Lonchura striata: one gene and its partners. The protein of the gene in region 2 interacts with the protein of the main gene of each other region in a pairwise test. Links are inferred from orthologs where the notes say so. Each region holds a gene or a part of one and is shown on either strand. Other genes may lie near its edges.

Evidence for each region.
Region 1: the proteins of USP25 (region 2) and SYK interact in binary tests that used the Homo sapiens proteins (3 or more experiments, as listed by UniProt). The link is inferred for Lonchura striata from reciprocal best matches to the Homo sapiens genes USP25 and SYK.
Region 3: the proteins of USP25 (region 2) and TNKS2 interact in a two-hybrid assay, tested with the Homo sapiens proteins (2 studies listed by BioGRID and IntAct). The link is inferred for Lonchura striata from reciprocal best matches to the Homo sapiens genes USP25 and TNKS2.
Region 4: the proteins of USP25 (region 2) and RAD23B interact in binary tests that used the Homo sapiens proteins (3 or more experiments, as listed by UniProt). The link is inferred for Lonchura striata from reciprocal best matches to the Homo sapiens genes USP25 and RAD23B.

Annotation. Positions count from the first base shown.
Region 1 is NC_134642.1:7,797,396-7,804,906, forward strand, and holds the start of SYK (tyrosine-protein kinase SYK), read right to left. Parts: upstream 3,001-7,511; 5' UTR 2,893-3,000; intron 1,558-2,892; 5' UTR 1,496-1,557; coding exon 1,473-1,495; intron 1-1,472. UniProt on the Homo sapiens protein: Non-receptor tyrosine kinase which mediates signal transduction downstream of a variety of transmembrane receptors including classical immunoreceptors like the B-cell receptor (BCR).
Region 2 is NC_134604.1:8,527,777-8,535,605, forward strand, and holds the start of USP25 (ubiquitin carboxyl-terminal hydrolase 25), read right to left. Parts: upstream 3,006-7,829; 5' UTR 2,944-3,005; coding exon 2,899-2,943; intron 1-2,898. UniProt on the Homo sapiens protein: Deubiquitinating enzyme that hydrolyzes ubiquitin moieties conjugated to substrates and thus, functions in various biological processes including inflammation and immune response.
Region 3 is NC_134609.1:16,489,974-16,497,691, forward strand, and holds the start of TNKS2 (poly [ADP-ribose] polymerase tankyrase-2), read left to right. Parts: upstream 1-4,709; coding exon 4,710-4,914; intron 4,915-7,718. UniProt on the Homo sapiens protein: Poly-ADP-ribosyltransferase involved in various processes such as Wnt signaling pathway, telomere length and vesicle trafficking.
Region 4 is NC_134642.1:81,799,774-81,806,720, reverse strand, and holds the start of RAD23B (UV excision repair protein RAD23 homolog B), read right to left. Parts: upstream 3,006-6,947; 5' UTR 2,893-3,005; coding exon 2,827-2,892; intron 1-2,826. UniProt on the Homo sapiens protein: Multiubiquitin chain receptor involved in modulation of proteasomal degradation. Binds to polyubiquitin chains.

The DNA of each region.
Region 1 (7,511 bases), on a different chromosome or scaffold from region 2:
CACCCAACTTCTAGCAAAATTGTGCTGGAAGGCAGGCTCTAAGTCTTCAATACCACTTTCAGGAAAGATGGAAGAAAACAGATTTACTATTAGGTTTTTAGTAAGGAAAGAATTTGGATGCATGAATGATCAACACTGGCTCTTCACCAGCAATGTACAACTTGCAGAAAAGGAAGAAATAATCCCATATTGTGCCTCATGCCAAGAATGGTACTGCACTGCCTGCTCAAAACACCTCAGTAATACATACTGAACATGTATCAAGCAGAAAAATATCACCACAATCTTCATCTGTAGAAATTTATTTTAATTAATGTAATTCATTAAAGTTAATTTTTGCCATGCTTCTAGTTTCAGACTTAAAAAAGATAAAAAACTTCAGAATGAAAATAACAGCTAATAAAAGTGGGGTGGGAGACAAGGTTAGAGGGGGTGAACACATCATCCCTGTCTACAAAAAAACTTTAGGACTACTGAAATTTAAATTCACTTTGACTATAATGTGTTTCAAATCAGGCTATTCTCCAGAGTATTTTTTGTCTCTTATTAATCTCAATGTTTTCTACAAACTCTTCAGGAACAAAAAGTTCTTAAAAGGCAGAAGGGCAGGGGGAAATCCACTGGTTTCAATTTAGATGAAATGTCAGTGATGGCACTGGTGAGGGACTGTTTGTTAAATCTTCAGAATGAGGAGGTCTGGTGTATAACAGGTTTCCAAAACAAGAAGAATATTTCTCAGTTATGAAAAGAACAGCAGCAGGATTCTGATGATCTCTAATATTTTACAAATTATTTATTTATATCTGTTTCAGAAAACAATGGCCTGATTTACTTTCACAAAATATGTTACCGTTGGTCTATTTCAGGCCAGGTTTTCTACCCCACTTTCCAATATGTGAAGAATATTTAGTGTTTAGCAATGGTAGGAAATATTTGGAGTGATGCAGCATCTCCTGGGCATGCATAGAGGCAAATAATCACAAAAAAACTTTAGATAATGATTAAAAACTACTTAACAATTTTGGAAGAATGTCTGAATTTGGGATGGCTATTCTCTTCATTTGGAATTTCAAAATCTTGCCTTTGTTTTGGGAGTGCAATACCCTTCTGGGATCAGTAAAGGAATAGAAGAAAATGCTTGAATTCAGAGTTTTCTCCTCCTCTAAGTTTTTCCAGGTGCACAAAGAGTGCAGTGTTTTCAAGCCAGTGCAGTTACAAACATGAAGCTGTGAAATGGAGATTTGACCCCTAAGGTTGAATGTAAGGCTTCACCCTCCTGAGTGCTGAAGGAAGTGTGGCTGGCTACCCAAGAGAGGCACTTGAGCATAACAGCCACAGAGGGTCTTAAGTGCAACTCTCCCCTTGGTCGCTAAATATGACTTTTAAGGAAGCTACAAATGCATGCAAATATCAGGCGTATCCTACGTGAAAGAAAAATATTACACAAACACATAAGAAAATTAAGTACTCACTTCCTCTCAGGCAGCTTCCTCATCAGCTCTGCAGGGTACTTCTGCCATAGCACAAGAGTTTAGTACCTCACACATTTCATGCATACTAGGAAGCAAAACATTCTCTCAGAACAGATGAGCAAAATGAAGGAAAACTCACCTGGAAGGTGTTAGAAAAAAAATCTCTGCTAACCACACTGCAAAACTTAGCTTAATTCTATTTAATCTAATATTTAGACAAGAACAAAGGGAGAATAATTACTATATTGAAAAGTTTGCTTAGCAAATATTATAATATTACTAAGGTACTATCTCCCTTCTAACATTAAAAAAAATATAAATAGGAATATGAATTTTTCTAAAAAGACCAAACAGTATAATGGTGAGAGACTTAGGAATTTCTGATTGATTAGTTTATTCCTTCATGGATAAGATGACTGAAATGTGACAAAGATCAAAAGCCATGTAGTGGTGAAATAGTGTGCCAAAAAAATGCTCCTTATTTAGGCAGCTATTTTTTCACCTTTTCTTGTTTTCCAAAGTAGTATTCTGTGAGCAGGGTATGAAAATAAAGAAGTAAGGTTTAAAGTAAATGTCTTGCATGCATACATACATATAAGGCACACTAGACAGTGTCAAATGATGAAAATATGCTTATTGAAACAATTTGTTCTAGAACTGGGTGATATTTTAAGTACCACTTGAAGTTTAAGAACTTCAACAGTTCTCTAATTATACCCTGGAAAACATTAATAAAAAAAGAATAATATGAATGTACAGTTTTCTGAAGATCCTATTTAATTAGGATTCTTGGAATCAAGATGTGTGCCTCTGAGAAAAGCAGCACAAGTTTTTTAAGATTCTTCACCATATTTTCAACTTATGTAACTCATCTGAAAACTAGAAGAAATTCAGTATGCATAGAATCATAAATACACTTTTGATGGTGACTTGATATACTATATTAAATATTTTTATAGTTTCATGGTTTCAGGAGAACCTTAAAGGTATACTCCAAACTAATGCACACTTTGAAATAATTGGCACTGAAGTATTATAAATCCATTGCAACTACCTCACTTTTAAAAAACTAAATCTGAAGAAGTTTAACAAAGAAAATGGATTTGAATTACTGTTCTATTCTTATTTTTGCATCCTTAAAATCACGTTCCAGTGTGTGTAGATAGCTGAACGATGGTCTTAATTTGATCATCAGATTACCTCTACATGCCTCCTTTACCTTTTTGTATAAACATGAAAATTTAATTTCTATCTACACCTTAGGAAAGGAGTTTTTATGAGCAAATTACGCAGAAACAAAGGAAGAAAACAGCAAGTGTCTAAAAGGAAGTCAAGGCAGGGAAATACAACAGAATATAATTTTATAAAGTAATTCAAACAAATTAGAGTTTGATCAGGGCACTAGAGTGAATTTACTGACCTACTGAGAAACATTTGAAATCCGGTGTAGTTCAACTGGTAATACTGGTGATTTTGCAACTTTTGTAGATATCTTCAAACAAAGTCCCACTCATCACACTGAAGGGGATGTGTCTAGAAGGAAAAAGTGACACTTATATTTCCTTGAGTTCTGGCATTCCTCAGGGAAGTGCCCTTGCTGAGTACTGATGCTCAGGGCACTGTGTCTCAGTCTGCACCTGCTGTGCTCCAATCAGCTTACAGCCTGCAGCAACATTTCCATCACTCATGCTTGGGCCTCCTTCTCCATGTGTTTTCTCCAGCTTCTCCATGAAAAGTTTTCCTCATACAACCAAACACTCATCTCTGAGCTCTGCAACATTTTACTAACAATCTAAGCTATACTGCTCTGCTTTTTGACTTGTACTTCAGACTCTAAAAATGCCTTTTTCATCTTCAAAGACTTTGCTGTTATTCCACAGATGCTCCTTCCCAGTGCTGACAGATACAGAAAGCATGTGCTAGTTTTTAGCAAGTTTCATATTGTTATATGTTCATATTGTCAATTCATTCTGACAATAATGCTAGCAAGTACATGTTGTCAAATTTTTATTATTTCTTCAACACTGGGCTCTTTCCTTAGAACCTCTATGGTGTCAAGTTCCATATTTTACTTTAACAGTTCGGTTTCAGAAGCATTTTCTTTCTTTCAGATATTTTTGCTTTTTATTTTATATTGTGATGCTTTTAGGGTGACAACGGTGTTTCTGCTAAGGTTTTTAAATACTGCAATGTATTCTTTTACAGAAACATAGCTCAATTAAAATCTGTCTGGGAAAAATAGGGAACATGGTAGCTTTGGACCAGAACACTTGTCTGATGGGAAATTCAAAACCTGGATCTAAAAATATGATCACTGAGCTTTAGGATTGTCCAGTTTGTTAATTAACAGGTTAATGTTTTATCATTATTATGAAAGTTAGTGGCCTAGCTAGCCTCTTTCTCAGCTTAAGACGAAAGAGTTTTTGCCCTCATTCATGTAAATCCTCAGCATTTTGGCCATATCAGAACAAGCATGTGCCTACTAAACAGGTGGCATTGGTATTTCATCTACTACCAACTATATTAAGGAGTCATTCATAAAATGAACTAAAAAGGAATATCACAAACACACCTAAAAGCCTCAGGAGCTTCAAAAAATTGGATTTTATAAAATATTTTCCTATAGATTTACTTTCTGGAGTCATCTTAATCAATACTGCGGACAGATAGATATTTTTTTTTTCTCTATTGAAACATCCCAGAAATGCCCTCATTTACTCAAAATTGCATCTGACATTCTGATATCATCAGACTACTCCAGGCACTCTAGCTGCTGAAATATTTCCTGAGGAAAAACTACTTGACCTGTCAACACAATTACTGCCCTATTACAAGGCAAACAGATGCTTAGAAAAAGTACCAGAGCATTCATGTTCTCTTTAGGGCTTTTCTATAAAAGCTTCTGACCTGAGCTCATGAAGGAGCATTCATCACTAAAAAAAACATTCTTCACTGATGCTAGGAATCTATTGTTTCTCTTATACACCTTTCTTTTGGGATTCTCATGTCTTTGGTAATCTTTTCATATGCCATAGTTTTCCTCTAATGAAGTTTTTCTGCTTTGGTCTTTTATAAAGCTCAGCATGCTACTGTGAAAGAATTAAAAAAAAAAAAAATAGGTGTTTATGGATTGCAGTAATTCTTTCCCTGGAAGTAAAAAATCCTATGATTTTCACACATATTAAAAATAGAAAAAAACCAACCAAAAAACCCCAAACAATTTTTTCTCCTTTTAAATTCCCTTATATCTATTTCCACTCTTACACTGTCACAAATACAAACACTGCCTCTCGCCAAACATGTCTCTCATCAAATCAAGAATTTCAGACATAAAATGGGTGGCATCATTTCTATGGGGACAAAATACTCAACTGTGATTTGTCCCTATTAAACCACCGTATAAATAATGGAACCACTGGGATGAGGTAAATCTGCAGGAAAGCATTTCAGATACTGCAGGCAGATCCCTGTCTAATCTCCCATTTTCCTGCTGTGATAAGATGTGAGCAAACTTCTTTGGGCACAGACATATCTTCACTAAGATCAGCTGTGCCACTGTAGTGACTGCAGAATAGTACAGGTATAATTGTACAATTGCAGGTATAATTGTATCTTCCAAATGCTGGTGGAGGGGGGAATAAAAAAGAAAAAGGAAAAAAAAAAAGCCTGTGTTGGGATGCAGTTACAAAAGTCTTACTCAGAGAGCCCCAACTATCTCCCTTCAGGAGCTACTGAGACATACATAAATGTATATACATACACACACACACACACACGTATATATACATATATGCATTGTTCCTTTATGGTTTTGTTTCAAACATGTATTTACTTCCCAGAATTACAGTAAAAAGTAAAACTCCTTTGCATGCCATAGATCACACTATGATTGCATGGAGAGAGCTGTGAAATGAGCGTACAAAGTCAGTGAAAATACATGAAGAGCAAAACAAAAAAATTATAATCTTTCTTGCAAGAAATCACTGAAACCACTAAAAAGAGATTGAACAGCTTAGCCAATGGCCTGCATATTTTCAGGGTCCAAGTTACAGTGACATTAAATATGACAGTGTAGCATGTTGCCAAGTGGAATACATTTTCATTTTTACAAAAGAGTTTTCACAGAGACAGCAATAACAAAACTGTTATGGACAAGACAGTGATGGCACAGTAAAACAAAACACATCTAACTATCACTAAATTTTCTCCCAGTCCCAAAATCTTCTTTCAAGGTTCACCATGGTCTATTATTTTTCACAATTCAGAAAGAAGTAGCCAGAAAAAGATCTATCAGAGTGCTACACCAAAAACATTGATTCAAAACATTCATCTTTTTCCAGGAAGTCAAAACCTGGAATATCTGTCCAATTTCCAAACACACACAAAAGAGTGCCTTGGGCAGAGAGCTGATGATACTGTAAATTTTCTTTACCATAAGATCTGAGAAAGGCTGGCTTCCAGAAGGACCAGCATCCAATTGTGGATGGATCCACAAGCCATAACTTTGTTTTTCCTTCCTTCTGACATTTCTATCAAATTTGCTGGCAAGACATCTCAGAACTAAAGATCATGAATTATAGAAGCAAGTTGCTATAACCAAATGGAAAGTGAATGAAAAGCTTCATCCATTAAAAAAAAAAAATCCAGGAGAAATTCAACATTATTACAACAGCCTCAAAGTTTTATAGCCTTACAGGACTAAGACAAAATGCCACATTTCATTCAAAGTTTCAGATAAACATCACTGCGGTTCCACAAGATAGGTTTATTTTACATTCCAACAAGTGTCTTCATTAGACTTTTTAAAAATCAGTAATTGTGGCAGGCTGGCATTTCCAAAGTTATTATGCAGGGATTAACTCCTCTTCTTTGTTCAGGTCTGTCTCTACTCAGTTCCAAGTCTAGAGGCTATGGATATATAAATTGTCTCAGTTTCTCAGCCATGAATATTAGCCTTCACTTACTGTTAAGCAAGAACACTTGGACCCCATTACACTTCATTCCTTATCTGAAATTTATTGGTCCATCTTTGTAATTGCTAAAACCTTTGCTGAACAGATGCCTCAATGGACTGGCTCCATGAGTCAGAGTGGTAAAATGAGGCAGGTTCCTCTTTCAGACCAAGGTTATTTTGCCATCTGAAACAGTCTGCAGTATTCTTCTTTATATAGAAAGCACAGAAATTACTGTAGGAACAAAAACAACTTGCCTGTCATACTCCTAGAATAGGCAAGCTTCTATAAAACTGGGCAAGCCTTCCCAGTGCTACATTCTAGAGTCTATAAAAACCATGCCATGTTTTCTTATTTTTTGAAAAGCTTCTGCTAGGAGCACAGGCCAGGTAAATGTTCTGCCACAGACACACTGTAAGCACCATCTCTTAATGGAAATTACACTCACAAAGAATTGACACCCACAGAGGTATGGGAAAAAAGGTCAAGCATTTCTGTTTTTTGAAAGGAAGATGTGATACTAGCTCACATAGCCAGGCTGACAACAGTAAAAATCTTTCTTAAAATCTATCTAATAATTAGAAATATAGAAGCATAGCATTGTTCAGGTTAGAAGGAACCTGAAAGATCACTTACTTCCAAACCCCCTGTTACAGGAAGAAATACGTTCCCCCTGACCAAGTTTCTCAGAACCCCATCCAGTCTGGCCTTGAAGACTGCCAGGGGCATTTACAAGTTCTCTGGGCAACCAGTTCAAGTGCCTCAACACTCCTGCAGTAAAGCATTCTTTATTTAACAGAGTTTTTGTTAGGAAAGGAATGCTTTTCTTGAAAAATACTATAATCCAACAATTGCACCAGCTCTTCCTGACTATGTTTTATGAGGACACAGGTATCATAAAAGACAGACTGCTTTGCAAAACAGACTCTTCATTAGTGCATCAGCCATTTAGAAAAGACTAAGTCTGTATCTCTCCCCATATCAGCCTTTATCATCAGAACAAGCAGCACAGAAAAAACTTCTCATTGATATAAAGACAGAACAGTCTCTTAACAGGCAGGAACTAATTTTAACCAGCAAACAAACT
Region 2 (7,829 bases):
GAGAGATAAAACAGCCTTTAAATCCATGTATCAACCAAATGTCAGGCTCTCTCCAGAAGCAGTAGAACTTGATAACACACATTGCTGAGAGGCCAGCTAAGTGCCACCAATTAAAACCCAGCTTCTTCAATCTGCCATTCCAAGATGACCATCACAGTAATTACCAGAGCTGATACAACGTTGAAACATGCTTAACCTCCCCACATCATAACTTTCAGTTACCAGAAAAATCACCATTCACCCAGCCCCTGAACTCGCTGTGTAGGGGACACTGGCCAAGGGAAGGGTCTGCACAGTACATGGGCAGCCTGGGGAGATCTTCCTCCAGGAGGAAAATTGAGGTTCACAGGCATCAGCCACATAGGGCTGCCTAGATTATGTGAAATCCTGCAACACATGTGCCTTATTTCCTCAGCATCAAAATGCCTGACAAAAAAAAAAAAAAAAAAGGACTGGACCGGACAGAAATGCAGATTGGACAAAACAAGAAGCTACTTTTTTTTTTAACTTTGCATGTTGTTTACCTTTTTCACATGCTTTAATCTTACTGTGAACATTACCTATAACCTTCAGACACCGAACAATGTCATAGAAGCACACAAGGGCCATAAGCAACAAGAATAATTTGATTAATTATTTGCTTCAGGACATAATTTACAAGTTTTAACTAAGGGTCAAAATGACCAGTAGAGATGAAAGAAAAGCTTCTTTTGACCTGACGCAGCTGCTTTAACTACACAATAAACTAAAGATAGCTTCAGTGGGAAGCAGGCTGTTTGTAGTTACAGCATTTATTAATACAAACCTACATCTCCAAGTGCTGCTGAAGTTTGACACACGCTTCCTGTATGACAGTAAGAAAACGTCTGATGAACAATGTTTGCAACCATGGCTCCGAATAAGGTATGCTGATGACTCAGGCATCTCTTGTAAACCCAATATATTTCTGCTTGTATGTGGTTTCTTCACATTAACAGAAAACAATTGTAACAAACTTTGAGGTCTCCAGAACAAACTCCCTTATTTGTGGACATTGGGCTTTTCTTCTTTCAAGGGAAAACAGTAAGTTATTGCTATGGTAGCCTCTCCACCTTTCATCCATCCATCAGCCCACTGGACCTTCACCGTTTGCCTTCTTACATGCAAATACCTGATCAATGTTAAAGTTTGTCATCCAATTACCTAGTCATTAGTCTCGCTAACAATGAGACACTCACTTTGGAGTCAAATAAAGCTTTTTTACAAAGTACTTTTAAGATTTGCCTTTCCCTCATTCCCTAAATGCATGCAATTAGGGATAAAACAGGTTAAAAGCAATTGCAGATAATAAAATAATCAGATAATTCAACAGAAACAATAATAAAAAAACCCTGCCATGAAAAAAACTTGATATTTTATTCAGTTTCTTTAGACACTTTAAAAGGTGACCAACACCCACCAATGCTGATTACAACTTCAGAATTATTGCTAGCTATATTTTTTACTGCAGCATGGATTACTTGGCATATACCACAATCAATCTTCAACCTCCTTTTGGGCTTATCCTCGATTTGAAACTCAAGTGAATCTGAACTACTGACCCGCAAGCAGTAGTTTAGCTGAAAACTAAGTATCCTTCTAGTTTAGTTGAAAACTAACATTACTACTCCAGGATTATTGTCAGAAAGCACAAATAGGCAGCACTGATCAGGGTCCAGAAGGCACTTCGTATCTGACGTGATAATTACGATATATTAAGTAAACCACAAGAGGTTTTGTAAAAGATAAACTTGCTCGCGAAAGTTGTCAGATGCACAGCAGCAACATCAGTTTTCAAACACAGCAGGCGCATGTAGCAGCAAATCTGCTGCGTTAACCTGCCAGCACACCCCAACTGAAAACACTGAGAGAGGAACAAAATCAGACCGTTCAGCCCTTGCCTGCCTTCCTGCTGAAGCCGCCAAAATCACGGCTAACTACTTCCAACTATGAGAGCAGTCCTCGGCCAGACACGCCCTCCCTCCAAACAAGCTTCTTAAATGCGAGCTCTACCACTTTAACCAATTATACCCTAATCAGCACATTCCCACTGTCCACTCTTACGGCTGCAGCCATTTAACTTCCCCACCGACTATACCAAAGCACACATACCTTTATCCTCTTAGGAAGGCAGTACATGCCATTAAAACATTAATAAAAATCAGGAAAGAGGCAACAGCCATACCACTAACCAGAAGAGTTGTGTTAACCTACAAGTTACCTTTAAAACATATTATTTTAAAAGCACTGCAATTTAATTTTAGACATTTGTCTTGACAGTTCAAGGGAAGGAAAGCTTTAGAAGGTATCCTTTTTATTCTTCTTTTGACAGAGAAACATTCTCCATCGAGTCCTGGCGCACAGTAAAAGCCTGATGAGCGCCGTCATTCCCTTAACCCCGTTCCATGATGCACGTTAGCACGAGTCCCTAAACCCGGCACTTTTTCACTCCAGCAGGAGCGCGTCACTCGCTGGAAATAGCGTTCACCTTTGGCAGGCGCGGATGCCGGCGCCGCAGGGTCACGCCGGGCATGTGCAGCATCTCCCCCCGGGCCCGCGGGGGGCTCGGCCGGGACTCGGCGCTCTCGCTGCCCGGCCCCGGTCCCGCCGCTCTGCCCAGCAGCCTGGAGCGCAACAGGCCCGCCCGGGGCCGCGGGCAGGAGCCGGGGCTGCCCGGGGTGACCCGGGGCCGGCCCGGCAGCCGCCCCCGCCGCGGCTCCGCGGCCGCCGGAGCGGCGGGGCCCAGGCGAGGCCGCGGCGCGGGGAAGGCCCGGGAGAAGCCGGGCGCGGGCGCGGGGAGGGACGGCGGGAGCCGGAGCGGGCGCGGCCGGGCCCGGGCGCGGCGGAGCCGCTCCAGGCCGGGCCCCGCCGGGGACTCACCTTGGCGGCGCCGCCGGGCTGCAGCACGTTCTGCTCCACCGTCATGGCCCCCGCGCGGCTCCCGGCGGCGCCCCGGGCTCGGCGGGCGGCGGCGGCGCCGTGCGGCGGCAGCTGGGCCGGGCCCGGGCTGGGCGAGCGGGGCGGGAGGCGGGGCGGAGGGGGAGCCCGAGTCGCCGCCCGGCGCGGGGGGAGCGCGGCCGCGCTCCGGCCCCGCCGCCGCTCCCGGAGCGCCGCCCTCGGCCCGGCTGCGGCTCCCGGCGGCGCCGCCCCGCGCACCTGCCCCGGGCGCGGCCCCCGCCCGGCCCCTTCCCCGCCCTGTCACAGCGCCCGCCTCCATCTTGGCGGCTCCCGCCGGGCCCCGCCGCCCGCTCCTCCCGCGGGAGGGCTCCGCGTCCTTCGCCGGCTGCAGCGGCGGCCCCGGCGACGGCAAAGTTTGCCCCCGCCGCGGGGAAACAGAGCGGCTTACCGGTGCCGCTTTCCAGGGGATCGCCAGGGAATTTATGAGCCAGCGCTGTGGCTGCTCGTGGCCAGGGCAAACCGAATCGCCAAATGAATCACAGACCCAGGATCGCTCGGGTTGAAAGGGAGATCGCCCGCCGCAACCCCCCTGCCAAGGCAGGGTCACCCAGAGCAGGTGGTACAGGAACGTGTCCAAGTGGGTTTGGAATGTCTCCAGAGGAGACTCCACACCTTCCCTGGGCAGCTGCTCCAGTGCTCTGCCGTGCTCAACAGAAAAGAAAAAAAAAAAAAAAAGTTATTCCTGCTGTTGATGTAGAAATTAGAAATTCTTGTGTTTTAGTTTATGGCCATTGCTACTTGCCCTGTTGTTGGGCCCCACCATCCTCTTGGCACCCACTTTGGAGATCTTTGTATGCATTAATACACAGAGGTCCCCTCTGTGTTCTCCAGACTAACCAGGCCCAGCTCTCCTCATAAGAGATGCTCCGGACCCTGATCACCTTCGCAGTCTTTGCTGGACCCTCTCCAGGAGCTCCTTGAGGAGCCCAGAACCAGAAACAGTAATGGTGCATCCTGAAGTTGCAGGTCTTCCCTTTCCCTGAGGTTTGACTGGGTGAGCCGTGGTTTGACTGGATGGCATTCAGCATTCAAATTGTATGGCAATGTCATTAACATATGGGGGGGGGTAGCTGGTCTTGGCAGCCCACAGTGAATTTTGGCACCACAGATAAACAGTATTAGGGAAGAAATTGTCCTTCTGTCACCCTGCTCTGGGGTGTCAAGGAAAGGGCAAGAAAGGATTCTGCTTTGGGCATCAGCACAAGCAGCACAAGACTCAGCTGGACAAAACACGTTTGCCCAGGAGCAGGTGAAGGGCAGCAGAGAAGCCCATCTCACATTTTGAATGCCTGCCCAGTGTATGGTACCAGTGTCCCTGTTCCACTTCCAAGGCTGGTGGAGCTCAGTCTGTAGGAAAAGCTGCAGAGAACAGCACAGTTCTGAGAGCCCCAAGTACCTAAAAAACATGAGCTGGGAGCCTAATGCTACAAAATTAATTGCAGCTATTGCTTGTCTGTCACACACAGCCTTTACAACTCTGTAATCCAGAGCCCTCCTCTCCCCACAGTAGAGTATGGATCTTTTTAAAACTGACATTATCAGGTAATAACATCACTGGAAGATCCTGGACTCTAAGGAAAACACAAGCACAACTCATGACAACTTGCAACCACTGCTTCATTTCATTGTAGATTCTGTGCAGGAGATGTTGCAATGTAATCAATATTTGCACTTCTCAGGTTTGTTGCCCATAGATTGTATCAGTTTTAATGTTTTGGTTTTTTTTTTTTTCCTTTTATGCTGCAACATGAAAGGAAATTTGTAAAATTTGTTTCCAAAGAATTTATTGTGCAAAAGATAAGAAAGTATGCAGATAATATAACGGGCTCAGAAATGGATTGCAAATTACTTTACTGGAGATAGGAAAGGAAAGTCTCTGCTCAGACTGATGGCTATATGTAAGAAAGACAACAGTAGCAGCTTGGGGTTTTTCTTAAAAAAAACTTTTCTGTAGTAGCTGTGAAGGAGTGATAGTCCAATTCCTCCGTCCTCTTCCAATATATAATCATGCTTTTTCTTATACATTTTTACAGCTTCTTCACCGTGTTTTTACATGTGCTATGTTCAGATAACTCCCATCACAACTATTATTTACATTATTTGAACATATTATAAACAAATTAGCATTTAAATAAAATACAGTTGTCTTGCAATATTTTTTTCAAGTGTTTTCACTGTTTTATTTAATAGCTTTCCTGTGTCCAAAAATAAAATGTTTCCAAAAAAGAAAGAAGAAATTGTACATTTTGTTCAATTCTTTTTAAATCAGGATAAAATGACAAAGCATCACCTTCCATTAAATTCCCTTCCCCAATAAAATTCATTTTTAAGGGCTCCAGCTTCCTAACTTTCTTTAATATAAAGGCTGAGCAATCTGATTCCAAAACAGGGATTTGCCATTTAAATACATAATCTGAACCAGAATCATGCAAATGAGGATTCTGTCATACCTACAGTGTTGCTGGGAACCAGAGGGAGCAGAGTTCCCTGTTCTGTTTTGCAGCTCAAGCTCTCTATGAAGTACATTGAGTACAAGCCTGGAATTCATACCTCATCAGTAAACACTAATGATTTTGTCAGGGCCACAGTTTAAGAGGAAAATATATATTTTTTTATATATGTGCATATTTTCACAGAAGTTTGTTAGGTTTCCCCATAGTTTTTCCTCACCTTTTAACAATATTGCAGGGTTTGGCTGCTACCAAACATGGTTTGGTTGTTAAACAGTTTGGTGACATGTTGCACAACCTGTGCCTCCAGCTGCTTGTTCCCCTGAGCAAGGCTCCCCCTCGTCTGCACCTCCTGCTCACCAGCGGTGCTGGAGAAGTGATTCACTTGAAACACAGGCACAAACTCCCCTCCCCACTAAACTGGTTGTTTTCTTCTGCTAGATAAGTTCCCCAAAATGGTTCACTGACTGGCTACAGGAACAGCTGGGCTGGCCCAGAAGAGAGGGTGACCCAGGCTCAGTGATGGTACCCATCAAGTTTCATTTCACCTATTTCTAAAATCAGTAAGTGATTGTGCCTTCCTGATCTGCACACTGCCAGTTGGAGGGAAAGCCTGTGCCTGCTCACAGGAATCCTTGTTTCCCCATTTTTGCAAAGAGCAGCCAAAACATCAGCCAACCACAAAACACTTTAGCACATGTTTTATTGTATACAAAGACCATGTACAACAAGAAATAGCTCATTATTTCCCTCCATTTTCAATAGACTTGGGTTTGTCTTTAATTAAGTGCAACATGCATTTAGGGCTTTAATTAGACTGTGGCTGCATAAGTTACAGCTGGGAAACAAAAGTCAGGACTTCTTGGTTTTCTTTTCCCAGATGTGTAACCTGCTATACTGGGGATGAGAAAGCACTGCTTTAAAAAGCACAGGGAACGCTACAAACACAGGTTCTGTAGTTAACCCTGGACAAGAGCTGCCCAGGATTCACATTTATAAACCCCATCTTGGAGCACTTTCACTTAGGCCTTTTGGCTCTGCAGTAAATAGTTCAGCCAACTGACAAAACCACGGCCATTCAAGCAGCTTTTATAGCATGAAACTTTTGAAATCATCGTTTGGCAATTACTCCCTGTGTCACTGGTAACCATTCAAGCATTGCTTTGGCACCTGCAAAATCTCCTGGTGGTTATCATCCAAGGCAACCAAAACAAAAACTAACAAAATTTGTAACTCAGGAAAAGCCTTCTTAAAAGTCTTCTGAAAGCCTTTTGAAAATCTAAAAGTAAAACTAAAATGAGGTGAGCATAGGTCTTGTTGCTATGCAAAACACAACTTCATATTCCATTGTTTGTTGACCTTAAATTGAAGGTTCCTGACCTTCTAATTTTTTCTTGACAGCAGATGTCTATTCATTCACGTGTCTTCTTAAAGTCAGGTGCTACATTCAAAAATAAAAATTCTCAGATTTAGACTCCTGAGTTCATGTAATTGCAGCTGAATTCCACAGAAATTATGGATTTTACAAGAACCTAGTTAACGTGCCCTTTTTTACCCTAGCTATCTTCACACTTCATTTTACTTTATTATTTTATTTATTTTATTTTATTCTTGACCACCCTTGCATATTGATCATATTATTTGACACAGCTTTCCTGAGAGACCATAATATTTTTTTGTATGCAGCTGAAAGTAATTCAGAGCTCAGCAACAGGTAGTAGTCCTTCCAGTAGGCATTACCCAGTGTTTTTCAAGGACAAAAAATTACAGTACTGTTCCCAATATACTTATTTCTGTTATTGAAAAGGTAACTCATTTAAACAAGCATGTTCACAACAAATTACTATTTCCACTGAATTAATTTTAAGCAAAATAATAATTAATATTCCCCCTGGTTTAGACTTTTGTTGCTATAGGACACGTGAAAGCACGATGCGAACCACCTGCTATTTGTAAGGTAAAGAAGAAGGTTTATTTTTTAACTCTAACTTTTATACTTTTCTAAAGGTGACAGTGGATTGGAGAGTGAATGGGCCACCTCTCCAAAGACATTGGACAAACTATTAGTACATTAAGTTTCTGCACCCCCATGAAGGAATGCAAACCAATATAGAAATTGTGTGGGAAAGTTTTCTAACAGAATGTAAACTCAGAAGGCTTTAGAAAATCCTAAGAATCAGGGTGACAGACTTTACCTAATGATTACTTATAATGTGTATTTTGAAACTATTTCAGCTCAAAAATTATTGCTTTTAGCACGATAAGTGTGTTACACTCATATTCTAGGTCTAAACAATTTATTTTGGATTACAAAGTAATCAAGCCAGTTCTACATATTTTTTCCCCCATTCTTACTTTGCATGTATTTTTTCAAGTGGCAAACTCCCAGTTCTTCTCTTCCAT
Region 3 (7,718 bases), on a different chromosome or scaffold from region 2:
ATGGACTACTTTTCAGCAGGAGCTTTCCATTAGAAATACTGAAACTCACTGGACTTGACAACTATTGCTTCATGGTGAAACTATAAAAACTTCTTAAACTAAGTAACTTTTTCTTAGGCTGAAATCAAGAATAGCCTCATATTCCTATTTTTTACCCTGGACTGTGGAACTAGCTGTTCCAAGAAGCCATCACTTGAATTGTTGGGAAATTGCCTCTCAAAGATCTGGCCTGAAATAACAACTTGACAATCTATGTGCAACTATTTGGAGTGGTACACTACTACTTCCTTAAAAAACACTACATTTAGTTTCTTTGCTTTCCTTCACACTGCCTGCTCTGGATGGTATTTACATACTATGGGCAACCAATTTAGGTATCCAAATTAAAAGTATAGGTTTTTTATGCCATCAGTGGAAAGGGGAACAGTGCTTCAGAGGGCAATTAAAAGTAAAACACTGAGAAACCTGCCTGCTTTGGCAATTTCTTGGAGGACCTGGACGCTTCTGTTAAAGGCCCAGGACAGATTGTGAAGATGTCTGAATCTCCACAGAGCCTTTTGTATTTTTTTACATTTAATTGGGACAGAAAATAAATACTGAAATTTGTTAATAAAATGTCACTTGAATTGCAATTTAAATGCATGGAGAGTCTTCCGCTATTTGTTGGTTGCTCATTCTAAATATTCTCCCTTAGGATGATTTTTCAAGCAAATTGCTCTTTCCCTATTACTATCTCAGTCAGTTCTACACAGATTTTAACCTAATTAGCCCACACTTTTTCTTCTTTTGGTTGGCTTCAGAAAAATGAATTTCATGGCTGGACAGATATTCTGGTTTGCCTTCACTTGCTTTTAGCATTTTCATATTATTATACCTATTGAAGGTACAGATTAATCTGTTTTGCTGGCCTCCCCAGTCAATGCTGATCTTTGGCCTGACTGCTCCTCTGCTGTTTGTGGTTTCTTCCCAATAAAAAGTAACAACTTCCCAGGCCTCTGCCATGTTCTCCTGCTGGCATCCTGTGTAATTCTGCTTTGCATGCAAGGAGCCTACACTTTTAAAAAAGCTCTCTGTCATCCCAGAATGTTCCAGGCACTATAGAAAAACATACAAGAGCTCCATTTAAGCCCTCTGGACATGTTTCTGTCTAGCAATTTTTGACAGAAAACTGGAACAATTTTAAACAAATCACAGGCATCCTGGCTTTTCTTTTCTGTGTAATCTAGTTTCCATGAACTCTTAGACACTTATCTGTGCTGCTGATGTCCAGAATGCAAGCTTCTCCCTAGCACTTAAACGAATCTTCTCTAACTTCTGCCCCCACAGCTGGTCATGAAGCTGCTGAACAATTATCTTGGTTACTGCATAAACAGGTACAGGATTTTGATAACTTAATGGCCTACCATTACAGCTTGTGAACAACTGACAGGGTATCCCAATCTCCTATAGGGACCACGTGGCTTTGTGCTTGCTCCTCTCTGAAAAGCTCAGTCTCTCAACATTTCACCATCTCCATGTCTCCTTTCTTTCTTTTTAATCCATTTGTTATTCCAGAACAACATTTTATAATTATTACACTTTAGCCCCAGCTGCTGGTAAAATAAAGGAGGTACATATAAAACACCAATAACTACACATGGGTAACTGGCAGAGAAAAAGAACCAGTTCCTGCTTGTTCAAGAGACATAGCCAAAGTAATTGATGGATAAAATAAGAAGAGGAATGGAGAAAGTTTCTTTAAAGATCCAGTATTACACATATTTACTGATGTACAGCCTGTACTGCTTTGAGTTTGCAGTGAGCCTGTATTTCATAAATTGATATTTTCATTTTGAAAAAGAAGCTTTCACTGAGAAAGTTGCTATTTATATATATAAAAATATAGTAATAAAACAACAGATCAAAATAAATATAAATAAGTAACCAAAACAAACCCTTTTCTTCATAGAATATTTTATTATTTCTTGATGTACACATTCATTATCCCTGGTTTGGGCTTTTTTTCCAAGTCTCATCTGGAAATGTTTCAAATGGAATAAATTTTAAATTATTCTCCTTTTGGAATAAGCTACATTTCTGAACTCTTGAAATGTTCTATTTATTCCAGAATTTTACTTTGCTTCCAAGAGCAAGGCAAAGAACTTCAGGGAACAATTAGAAAGAACTGGAAAATCCTCATAACATGAAGGGCTGACAGCCAAAAATCCTAAATCTGATGGACTGCCTTGCAGATTGGCATGAACAATGTCTCTCCCCATAAGTAAACCTTAATCTCCTAAGCAGAAAGGAAAATAATTTATTTTTAAGGCTGCTGTAGTCTTTCCATGCCCAACAATCCCTCTTTTTCTTTCTTTTTCTATATCTTTCTCAATTTTTTTCTTTTTCCTTTTTTGACCCCGTCATTTTTTTCTATTTTTTTTCCTTCCTTTTTATCTCCTTTCCTTTCCTGCCCCCTAGTGACCAACTAAGCATGTTCCTAAACAAACTGAGCACTCTTCCAAAATACTTCTGAAAGGAATAACAGTGAAATGTTTCTGAGCTGTTCATGCCTGAGCCTCTCAGGCTGTGTTAGTAACAGGTGGGTTACAAACCTCCTGCTGCCTCTAGAAAAGTCCCTACCACATGTATTGGGTGGGATTTGGCATATATTTCAGATATGGTTTCCTAACCATGCTATTGTACAGAAGAACAAAAATACTGGATTTTGCAGATTATTTTCTCATAACATAAATAAATTACATTAAAAAGGAGAGGTGTTTTTATGTTGAATCTCAAAAATCACTATGAAGGCTATTAATAACTAGTCCTAAAATATGCTGAGAATCTTTGCTTCCTTGAATTCAAAGCTAATTGAATCCTGCTCTTACAGTGTAATTTTTCAAAGTTGTTTCCATTCATAAAGACCTGCTGTAGTTTCACACTCAAGCTATAATGAAGACATGCTGGAAAAGGAAATCAGGCTGCAAATAATTTAGAATAATAGTACCTTTTGGGTATAGTGGTGTGGAGAGAAATGTAGAATTTATTTCAGGCGGTGCTCTTTATAATCGTGCTCCAGCAGAACAGTGAAATATTGTTCTGGATTTCAAATTACTGAGAAGACCTGAGGAGCAGGATGTGTTTGGATTTACACAGGTACTTGCACTTCCACACACTTCTAGATACAAAGTCCCTTCTTTAATTTTAAAATGAAAGTAGTCAAGTTAGTGCACTTGCTACTTCTGCTGTGGGCCCAGAGAAGGGTTTATGAACTCAAAAGCTTGTATAGCTTTCCAAACATGTTAATGGTGACAATAAAAGATACAAATGGCAGCATTTCAGGTCCTGTTTTCAGTCTGTGGTGCCTGCAGGCAGGAAGGGAAGCTCTCATCATGCAGACTTTGGAGAAGTTGGGAAGGTCTGAGAGGCCCTATGAGCCACAGTTGATGACAGTTTATGCAGGAACATTATGGCCCCATGCAAAGCAGTGGATGAATTATGTATGTGTGGGACTCTGGCTATTCCCTGCCTGCTGAGCACAGCTTGGAATTTCAATGGAGGCACAGAGAAAAGCCAGTGGGATTACAGGAAACACGCATGACCAAGGCATCACATTTGTCAGTGCATGTGGTTTGTGCCCTGTGCTGGCTGCATTCTTCTGTCACACTGCTGTGGCTATGTGTAAATTACCAAACTGAACAGGACACAGACACAAGCATCAGACCTTGATCTGTCACTAGAGCATGGTGACAGCCTGGTATAGCTTGTAGTCTCCCACAAAAAATTCCTGGGTGCAGTTTAGGCATTAGCATGGACCAGGGAGAGAAAATTTGGATGTAATTGCCTTGTTTCAGGGACAGGGATGTTTGACAGAATGGAAGACTGTGCAAATGTGCTAGATCCTTTGCCTTGCACTTAAGTAATTTAATTTCCTAATGTGACAGCAGCCTGAAAGTTGAATTGAGTTTGGAGGTACTCATCTCTGCATTTGCAACAGGAAGCTACTGACCCTATTCAACTACCTTTTCCAAAGTGTTTTAATATGGTGTGAATAAAAAAACACATTTCAGAATTATCAACTGAATTCTCTTCTAGTCAGTCCCATCTGGGCTCAGGCTTCCCCCACCAAGCCAGTGAGGTTTATTGCGGGGCTGCGGGGAGAGAGAGGACAATTTCTGTTCTCTTCCAAAACCTTGAACTGGCAAAGTCAACTAACAGGTTTTTTAATATCTGTTTTTCGACATTAATAAAGAGAACTATGCTATTTATGTTGTATAATTTCCATTACATAGTTATTTTGCAAGCACTGAACTTCCTCGGAGTCACAGTATTTTCCTATATAAGCAACTGTGCAAGGATCATGAAGCCATTGGCACCCAAATGCAGTCTTCCACACTTTGCGGGGGGGGGGCGGAAATCCCTGAACAGAAACCCCTACATTTAATTACTGAACACAGCAAAGGCACATTTGTTCTTCTGGGGCGGATCGCTAGTGCTGTACTTTGTTGTGCCCCTCACGGCCCCCGCCAAGGGGGCCGGTTACGCGGGCCGTGTGGGCGCCGTCCCGCTGTGGGCCGCAGCCCCGCCGCCGCCGCTGGGCGGCTCCCGCGGCGCGCGCCTGCGCACGAGCGCGGCGGTGCCCGGATCCCTCCGCCGGGCGCAGCGCCCGCCCGGGAGCGCGTGCGGAGCCCCGCGCGGGGCGGCGGGGGCTGCGCGGGCCCGGCCCGGCCATGGCGGCGCGGAGGTGCGCGGGCGGCGCGGCCGCCCTGGCCGAGGCGCCGGGCTGCGGCGCGGCGGCGGCAGAGCCGGCCCGGGAGCTGTTCGAGGCCTGCAGGAACGGGGACGTGGAGCGGGTCAAGCGGCTGGTCCGGCCCGAGAACGTGAACAGCCGGGACACGGCGGGCAGGAAGTCCAGCCCGCTGCACTTCGCCGCAGGTACGGGGGCAGGGGGAGCCGGGGGGCGGCGTCGCTTGCCCGGGGCGCTGGGCCGGGCCGGGCCGCTCGGGCCTCGCCGCTCGGGCCGGGTGCAGCGCCGGGTCCGAGCGCTCCGCCGGCCCCTGAGCATCGCGCCCGGCCCCGGGACCGAGCCCGTCTCACCCACGCGGAGGGGTCGCCGAGCGGTACAGCTGTTCCCTCCTTTGCTTTTTCTTCCCCCCCCCCCCCCCCTTTTTTTAAAAAACCAAATCTCATCTGGCTTTGAGGACACATCTGGAGTGGGGTTTATGCTGTTCGTGTTGTGACACGTGAGCTCTGACAGGGACACTTGTCCCACGTACAGTTCTCATGGATTTCAGCGGGCCTGTGCATTTTTAGAATTGAACGCATGAAGGAGTTCGTCAGATAACACCGTTTCTAAGCTTTTTGCGTTCTTATCTTTGACAAATGGACTTTGTTAATTCAGGACGTAAGCAAACAATTGACGTCACAGGACAACTGCTTTCACTGGCAATTGGCCAGAAGATTGTATCCCACCTTTTCAGACAAAGACCCGACTGTGACTGTTGTTTCCATGTTGGTTGTTTGGTTTAATTACAGCCGTAGATGTTGGACTCTAAGGCTGACAGTCTGCAGAAAACAACAGCTTCTTTTCAGCTAATCAATATGGATAATAACAAAGATGTTTGTTTCATTATTAGATTGTCTTGGTAAAGGTTTCTGCTTCGGGTGTCCTTTCCTCATGTTAAAAGAGCTTGACTCAGGCTTAAGAGGTCTAAGTTCTTGAAAGCCTCCTCAGAACAGCAGTATTTCATAAATTCAAGAAGCCTAATCGGCAAGAGAGCTCAGGAGACAAAATATCCTGTCAGAGGAAAACAGTTTTTGTGGCTGTTTTTTTATATGCATCAATCCTACCTGCCCACTGAACTTCTAAACAACTGTGTATGTTTTAGAGCATTTTGGAGAAATGAGGGGTTGTTTTTATTTATTTATTAGTTTTGGTTTTATTTATTTATTATGTTAGTTTTGGGGTTTTTTTGGCCTAAGATGTTTCTCATTCACTGTAATGATCTAGTTTATCTCTCTGAATAGGGGTGATCTGTCTTGACTTTATATAACTCCTGATAGGCAGAAAGATTTTTCTTTAAAAAATGCACAGCCATAAGTTCATGTAGTTGTTAGATTTCTAAAGTTAGGCAGGTTGGTGTGTAAATGGGAGACACTGCTGTCATGCACATGTCACCATGACTTGGTACAGAGAAATTAATTGTTCTTCTCAGGGGCCTGTAGGAGATGCTGAGGGTTTCTGGCTAAGATGGGACAGAAAACACTTGTGTGATTTCTTCATGGAACTCTATTTACTGCCTCAGGTCGAGCTCTGCTGTTGTCAGCCCACCTGCAGTAGGCTCTGTTTGAAAGGTGGACATAAGTCGCTCTTGGACTTGGGCCTGACTGGTTTTGTTTGGTTTTGCCTTTCCCCTATTATTCACCGTTGGAATAATACTCACTTCTTTTGTCTGTGCCTCTGAAGGAGTCACATTCCAGGAAGTAAAAGCAAAAATCTGATGTATTCCTGCTTTGTTTTTAAGTGTTCTTAGAAAATGCATTACAAAACTTCTCTGACTAGTTTCATTCAGTTGCAAGACTTCTTTTATGGAGGAGCTGGAGCTGAAATACACCATGTCACCATGTTTTTTATTGCTCTTTTTTTCTTTTTACTTGACACTCTGGATCTGAACCTCGGTTATATTTTTTAAGACTTTTCCCAGATCTTACCTAACAATTAAGAAAAAAATTCCTCTTTTTCCATGTGTGTGTTTGTAAAGGTGGATTTTGAAGTAAAAGGTGTAAAAAAAATCTTCAAGCTCTCCCTAGAAATGTGTCATTATCAGAAGTAATACATGTTGGAATTTTGCTGGAGCTTGCTCTTTGGATTTTGTAGTACACAACTGTGTGTGGTAGTTAAGTTATCCTGAAGGTTAAGTCAAGGGCCCACCACCCTTCACAATAAAAGAGGCTCCATCCTCTCCCCTCATAAACTTCATGTATTTCCTCAAGTCAATCTTTTTCATCACAGTGTGTGTCAAAGTCAGAAGTTTTTAAGGACTTGGCAGGTACCAAAATGCCCCTCTTGCAATCTAAATTTCATTAAAAATATGAACACCCAGGGTAGGGGAGAAGCATTTGAGCTAAGTTCTTTCTGTTAGCTTGTTATCCCATCAGAAGTAGCTGGATGTCAATTATGATCCACAGTGACTGTAAATAAATACCTTTTTAAAATTATACACACTTGTACATTTCTACTGTGATTAATAATAGCAAATTGTCGGCTGAAAATTTGTAACTTTCCAGGGAACAAGTGCAGTGAGCTGCTCAACTATTACAGGTGGGAGAAGAGTGTCAGCTCAAGGTCCTGAGTAGCCAGCCTTTCTTGTTGGCAATAAAAAACAAAGAGTTCATGATGATAAGACCATTACGTTGCAGTTGAAATGTGTAATCCCATTTAGGTGGTCTCTTGATAAAAGCACAAGAGCTAAAGAAAACACCTACCTCTTAAAAATTACAATGTTGGGTTTTTTTAAAGTGTTTAAACAGTTTTTACTACAGCCAGCTACTGGTAAAGAGGAACTGTTTGAGTAGGCAGTGACTGCCTTCCCGTGACAGCAAAGGCTGCCCCTGCTTTCCACTCCCAGGAAGAACAGCAGAGGCAGAGACCATTGTGCAGTTTGGCCACTTCCTCTGCACTCATGCATCCTTTAGAAAGTAATGGGAAAATAATTCCCCTTCCATATATGGTGCCCTGT
Region 4 (6,947 bases), on a different chromosome or scaffold from region 2:
GGGCGCATCACAAAACTTAAGGAAAAACAGGCTTCCAAAAATTTAATTTGATAACAGGCCTTCCCCAATAATAGGGCCTGAGGCTAAATCTTTTCATCTTTAGTCAGTCAGGGTACCTGACAGTCTTCTCCCAGTGCTTTGGCAAGCAAGATAATAGCTTCAAGTATAATTTTCACTCATCCAAAATACTCACTTGGCCAATGTTTTAAAACACAACCACACCAAAACCGGAGTCACACCACTGAAGGCAAGTTTAAAATTCAACTGTGAGATTTACTAGGAAAAAAAAAAAAACAGTTGCTTGTGCAAAAAGCCAGTTAGCAAGGATAATTTATTATTGGGAAGTATGTTGCTTCAAACTCTCACTGGAGGTTGGTTTAAATATTCCTATCAACGACAGCTCTAAGTTAAACTTATCAGAATTCTACCTTGCATAGTATCATCAAGTCTCTCCAGATTAACTGGGTACTGAGAGTACGAGGAGAAACTGATAGGAACACAAAAACAATTTTAGAGAACCAGAACACAGCTTCGGAGCAACGCGTTTCCTGCGCCTATCGCAACTACACGATTTTTGGCCTTGTCACACCATAGGGCAGAAATCCAAGTAAACAAGCCTGCCTACCTCTGAGAAACACACACATGGTCCAAAGACTAAAAGTAATCTTTCCCAAACTCCATGAAACATGTTTCAAGGTCTGAGGAAAATAATCTACGAAACCAGCACACTTAGCTAAAATTTGTGCATTCCAAAAAGTCTGACCGAGAACTTCAAAGCACACACTTGTGAGGCACCTCCTCAGCATGGCACATTTCAAAGCGTTTTCTGATTTTAAGACTCAGTTTGTAACTGAAAGCTCAAAGCTGAACTTCTCTTTACTAAGTTTTTTGATTTTTAGTATTTCCAACAGTACTTTCTTAGTAATTTTCTAAAAAGTGTACATGGAAATTTAAACATGTTTTTCATCTCTATAGTTAATAATAAGACCAAGCCTTTATCCTGCTCTTTTAAAAACAAAGTTCTCCTCAAATTCTACCAGATTTCCTCTGTTTTACCACCCATTCCTGGCCAAAACCTGAAGTTATGCTCATGAGGAGCATTTTTATTTTGAGCCACTGTAGCGGCTACATCTATAAACAGAGGGTGCAGTTTCATTTTCCCACAATCCAACTTAGTCATTGCATTCTGCTGTCTCATAAACTGGTGAAGGCTTTGACCGACAACATTCCTTCAGTCCTCTCCTTGAATTTACTTCCCAGGACCTTACTGAATGCAGAGAGCAAGAGGGAAAAAAAAGGAAAAAAAAAAAAAAAAGATAGTTTTTTCAGTAACAGCACAGACTTATGTTTTAAATATTTGAAGGTTTCTGATCCCTGCCTCTCCTAAGCATTTGTCATGCCTCTCAGTCACAATGGTAACCCAAATGAGCTCTTAGTCCAACTTTCAACTGTCATCCTTTAGTTTTCTTAAGATGGAAGAGGGCAAACCAACAGACTTTACAAAAGCAGATCCAATGTTCCATAGTTTTTTGAGCTTCACTGCTCACCTGTCACAGGAAAGGCTGCTGGAAAGAAAGGAAAGCTGCCAGCCTCCCCAGATCTTTCAAACCAAGGCCACAAGTGTGTGTGGACTTGGCTATCAAAACAACCATCTCTGCTCAGGCAAGTGACAAGGCAACTTCCAACCCTGCCAACTCACTTAGGGCCCTTCCTCTCATCTCACAACACAGCATTTCCCCGAGGATTTTCCAGCAGGCTCCTGTGTGCCAGAAGAAAACATTCACCTGGAAGCAAAACATGTCTCCTCCTCGCTCACAGCATCATCAGACACATCCAAAGGCATCGAGGAGAGGGGGAATGAGGCTGCTGTGCACCCCACCGCACACCCCAACACCGGCTCCACCGAGGTCAGCAGCGTCTCTCCCGCACTCCCTCCCGTCCGAAGTGCACACTGATTAATCGCTGCAGCTCGCCCTGTGAGGCCAAACACCAAACCCTCCCGCACTCTCCCACCTCCACAGCACACCCCTGCCCGGGCACACAGCGATGCACCCGGCAGCAAACACCAGCCCCTCTCCAGATCACGCTCCTGCCCCGGCAGTGAAGCCCCACAGCCCTCCCAGCGTTTCCCTCCTGCGAATCCATGGGAGGAGGGAAGGACCACCACGTTTTCCTTCTGCTGGACCCCCAACCTCATCCCGGGAGAGAGATGCTCTCGCAATATCCAGTGTCCCCATCCCCCTCTCCCAGGGCTCCCAGCATAAACCAGCAGCGATCTGTGCCCCACCGACTGCCAACCCACGGCACCCCGCTTCCCGACAGGGAAAACTTTCCTATAGCGCTCCTCTCCTCCCCAGGACTACGTGAGGTATTTATTCGCCCTCCCGCCTCCCGGGCTGTTTCCCCTTTCCACCTCAGAGCTATTCCCCCTTTCCACCTCCCGAGCTATTCCGCCTCCCACCTCCGGGGCGTTCTCCTCTAAAACAAGGGGGGAAAACTCCTTCCGCCGGAGATTTGGCCACGGCAGTCCCTTTCCTTCGGCGATGGGAAGTCCCTCTTACCCACCAGCATCCCGAGGAAAAGGGGTCCCTCGCACCCCCGCCTGAGCTCATCCCCTCCCTCCGGCCCCGCCAGCCGCAAAATCATCCCGGGCGGACCCCGCCTCACCCCCGCGACCCCAACCCCTCACGGAATCTCCCTTTCCAGGGGCTGAGCGCACAGATCCCGCATCCCTCTCCACGGCCGCGTCCCGGGGATGGGAAGAGGGGGGAAGAGCGTGGGGGGGGGGTGGGGGGAGCGGGGGCGGGAGCCCGGGAATGGCCGCACCGTCTCCTCGGGGTCGATGTCGATGCGGAAGGTTTGCTGCTGCAGCGTCTTCAGCGTGATCTGCATGGCGGCGGGTACGTGCCGCGCTCCGGCCGCCCTCGTCCCTTCCCCGGGAAGAGGTGGCGGGGCAGAGGCCGGGAAAGGGAGGAGGAGGAGGGAGGCGGCGCCGGGCTGGGCGGGAGCGGCGGTTGCGCATGCGCCGCCCGGGGCGCGCGCCACGGCGCAGGCGCGGGCGCGCCTGAGGGCGGGGAGAGCGGGAGGCGGGGCGCGGGCGGCGAGGCAGAAATACAGATATCAATGTGTATAAATAGATAGAGAGAGAAGGAACGGAGTGATTGTGGGGAAGAACGTCTGCGAGTCCGGCCTGTGGCCGGACAGCAGCGTGTCAGCCAGGCCGTGGCGCTGAGTGACGCGTCCAGGCGTTGCTCGAACACCTCCGGGGCAGTGACTCTGCAGTCTCCCATTCCAACGTCCAGCCAGCCTTTCTGAAGAAATTCTTCCTAATATACAACTAAACCTCCCCTGGCCCAGCCTGAGGCCATTCCCTCCTGTCCCTGTTCCTGGAGCAGAGCCTGACCCCTCTGGCTGTCCCCTCCTGTCAGGAGCTGTGCAGAGCTCAAGGTCCCACCTGAGCCTCCTTTCCTCCAGGCTGAGCCCCTTCCCAGCTCCCTCAGCCTCTCCTGGGGCTCCATTCCCTTCCCCAGCCCCGTTCCCTCCTCTGGCCATGCTCCAGCCCCTCAGTGTTCTTCTTGAAATGAGTGGCACAGGACACACCGCTTGTAAGTTGTTATACAAGCTTATTAATACACGCTTGCAGGTTTATAGCACCCTCAGTTCCGCCAGTGCTCATTTCATAGAATATAAAAGACCATCTAGTCCCAGCCCCTGTGCCATGGGCAGGGACACCTCCAACTAAGGTTGCTCAAGGTTGCTTTATCCAACCTGTCCTTGAACAACACCAGGTGTTGGAACATCCACAACCTCCCCAGGCAAGCTGTTCAAGTGTCTCACCATCACAATAAAGAATGTCTTCCCTATATCCAGCTTAAATTGGGGATAAATAGGAGAGATTCCCCTCAAAAGGAAAGATTCCCTAAACCTCCCCTCTTTCAGTTTGTACCTACCCCTCCTTGTCCTATCACTAAAGTTCCCAACATAGTGTCCCTCTCTGGCTTCCCTGTATGCTCCTTCAGATACTGGAAACTTCTCCAGGGCGAACAGCCCCAGCTTTCTCAAGCTGACTTCACAGGGCAGGTGCTCCTGATGAGCTTGGTGGCCTCCTCTGGACTTGCTCCATGAGTCCTTCTCACTTTGAGTATCCCAGAGCTGGATGCAGCACTGCAGGTGAGGGTCTCACAAGAGGAGAAGAGAGGCAGAATTTCCTCCTTTGACCTGCTGCCCACGCTGCTTTGGAAGCAGCCCAGCAGTCATTTGGCTTTCTGGGCTGTGAGTGCACACTGCTGGCTCATGGTGAGTTTAGTAGCTTGCAGTTTAGTGTTTGGGTAGTTGATGCATACCTTTGATGGGTTATTAACCTGTGTTTGCCCTGTTGCTCTTTAGATAATGTAGGAGGAAAGTTGCTACAAGTAAACTTTAAAGTTGAGCCAGCTGTGTTGGTAAAAGAGACCTTTTCTCCTGCTCCTTGTAACCTCTTCCATCTGCAGTTGTAGGATCTCCCAGGGCATCTTCTTTGAATAAAGGCTGTCTTTCTGCAAAAGGGGATACTTATGTCAGGCTGACTTAGTTGCAGTTAAACTCCAAATTTCCTAGTATTGTGTAATGGCCAGAAAATTTCTAGCCTGCCACTAAGATTGTCAGCTTAATCATTGTAATGAGAACCATCTCCTAACTCATTTTTTACAGTAGGCTTAGCTTCCTCAGCATTTCCTCCCAGGCCAGCAGACAGCATTGCCAGGCAGCAGGGAAGAGGAAGACCCCTTTCCCTGCAGGAGTGAGGGAATGGGGACGTGCTACACGTACACACAGGGCTGGAGGTGCTGATTCTGCCAGCGTCCTGCTCATGCTCTGTCATACAGCTGCCAGAGAGCCAGAGCCTCCTGCAGCTTTCACAACGAAAAAGAAACCGCTGACTGTTGCTAGTAGGAATCCAGCATTCCTGACAGTACAGAATAACTTGCTTGCTCTGCGTGGAGAGCCATTAAAAAAAAAAAAAAAAAAAAAGAGAGAGAGAGAAAATATCACTTGCTAGTTTTTGCTTGGGTGGTTACAACCTAAAATATGCTGCTTGTTCACTTTCACTCTTGCCTGATACCTAAGTCTATACTTTGAAGATAAAAGGGATTTTTTTTTAAACTTTTCTTTCAGCAGTCCAGATATGCGAGTGCTGAGCTTCATGAGCTTCACATGCAAACTAAAATACCTCATGCTGAGGGGTTGTGTCAGTTTCACTACCCTTTTCTGCTCAGCTTGTGCTAAACTACTCATTCTGACTTCTGTGTTTGCTGGTTAGTGTGTGAAGCAGTTCTGCCCAGGGCTAGGGGCTCATTTCAACAGTGGCTGTTTGGCTCTGCTTGTAAAAGCCCCAGAATAACTGGGAAACAATTCCAGAGGCTATGAACGGCTAAGGATGAAGGTCTTTTTCTGACAATTTATTTGAATTTTGAAATAGAATGAGAGAAAAAAAAGAAGCTGTGATTTTTTTTTTTTTTCCCTCTGAGTGGTTCAAGAATTTATGACAACTCACTGTATTGGGAATATAATAAATAAATAGAATCTTGATATTTCCTCTAGCTCAGCCCATTCAGCTCCATAAAATCTGTCAGGGCTTGGCTCTCCAGTTCTTTCTTGCAGTTGCAGAATCTAGAGTTGGAATTTCTCCCCCAGAGCAGCCTCATAATTTAGTTTCATAGTGCTTCTCATTGACAGCCAGTGCTTTGTGGTTTTTTTTTTCTTTCTGTATCTGAAGTATTTTGCGCAATCGCCCTGTGTACAGACTGAAGCATCACAGTTAGCTAACTTTATTTACAACAGTTTATATGCTGACTCAATCAGCATACAAACATCCCCTATCCAAGAGAAAAAAAAATTGGATTGATTTGAGAAAAATGTGAAATGAAGCCAAAGACTTAGAAAGATGTTTTGGTGGCAAATGCATAAGATGATTACTTTTGGATTCTTGCTTCCAAGTAACTTGATTTCCCTGGTGCACTTAACTCCAGCTGTGTGAGCTGTGTGCTGCCATAGCTTTGTCCCTCTCGGCTCCTTTTGGTTGTCCATGATTCCCCAGGACCTGCTCTTTACCCAAGCCTGTTCACAGCTGTGAGCACCCTCCTAGGTTCAAGGACCCTGATTGTTACAGAACCCGTTGTAACAGTATCAGTGTGTACACGTCTGCCTGTTGTCACCTCAGGTTACCTGCGTGTCACCTCTCCAGCCACAAAAAATGTCCCCGTTGCATGATACTCGAGTTTGTCTGCTTATCTTGGGAAGAGTTTCTGTGGTTTTCAGTGGCAAAGACTGAGGCAAAGTCTCGAGTCAGTGCTCTTGGGAAGTCAATTCTGCCTCTGCACTAACCTACAGTAAATACACACACCCCCTTTGTTACCTGGGTCATCCCATTGTCTTAGATGTGTGTGTGCTATTAAGGCAGCCTTATCATTGCCATAATTTTTACAGGTCCTGCCCAGATTCTGGGAGTGATGGCAGACAAAGGCTTTGAAGGTGACTCACCCCAAAGAACTGTTTAGGGAAGCAAGGGGTGAAATGGTGCTTGTAAGAAAGCAGCACATTCTGTTTCAGGCCTTTTGAGGTGGGTGCAGGCTTTTCAAAAGAAGACAGCACTGACAGAAATGGCCTGAACAAGGCCCTGAGGGTGTAGAAAGCAACTTTTTTTGTCTGTGTTGAGCTAGGAGGAGGCATGCAGAGGGCAGTACTCCAGGCAGATGCTTGTCAGTCTGGATAACAGAGGTAATGAAAGGGAGAAGCAAGCTTTTGAGCTGCTGCTGGTGGTTAGGAAGAGTTGTTACAAAAGTAGATGTAGAAGAGATCCAGAAGGGCAGCACAGCCTGGAGGGGCTTGGGATCAAATAGAGCACATGTTGATAATGGAGAGGTGAGGGAAGTTAGCACCATCATTGACAGGCAGTAACATGACCTTACCCT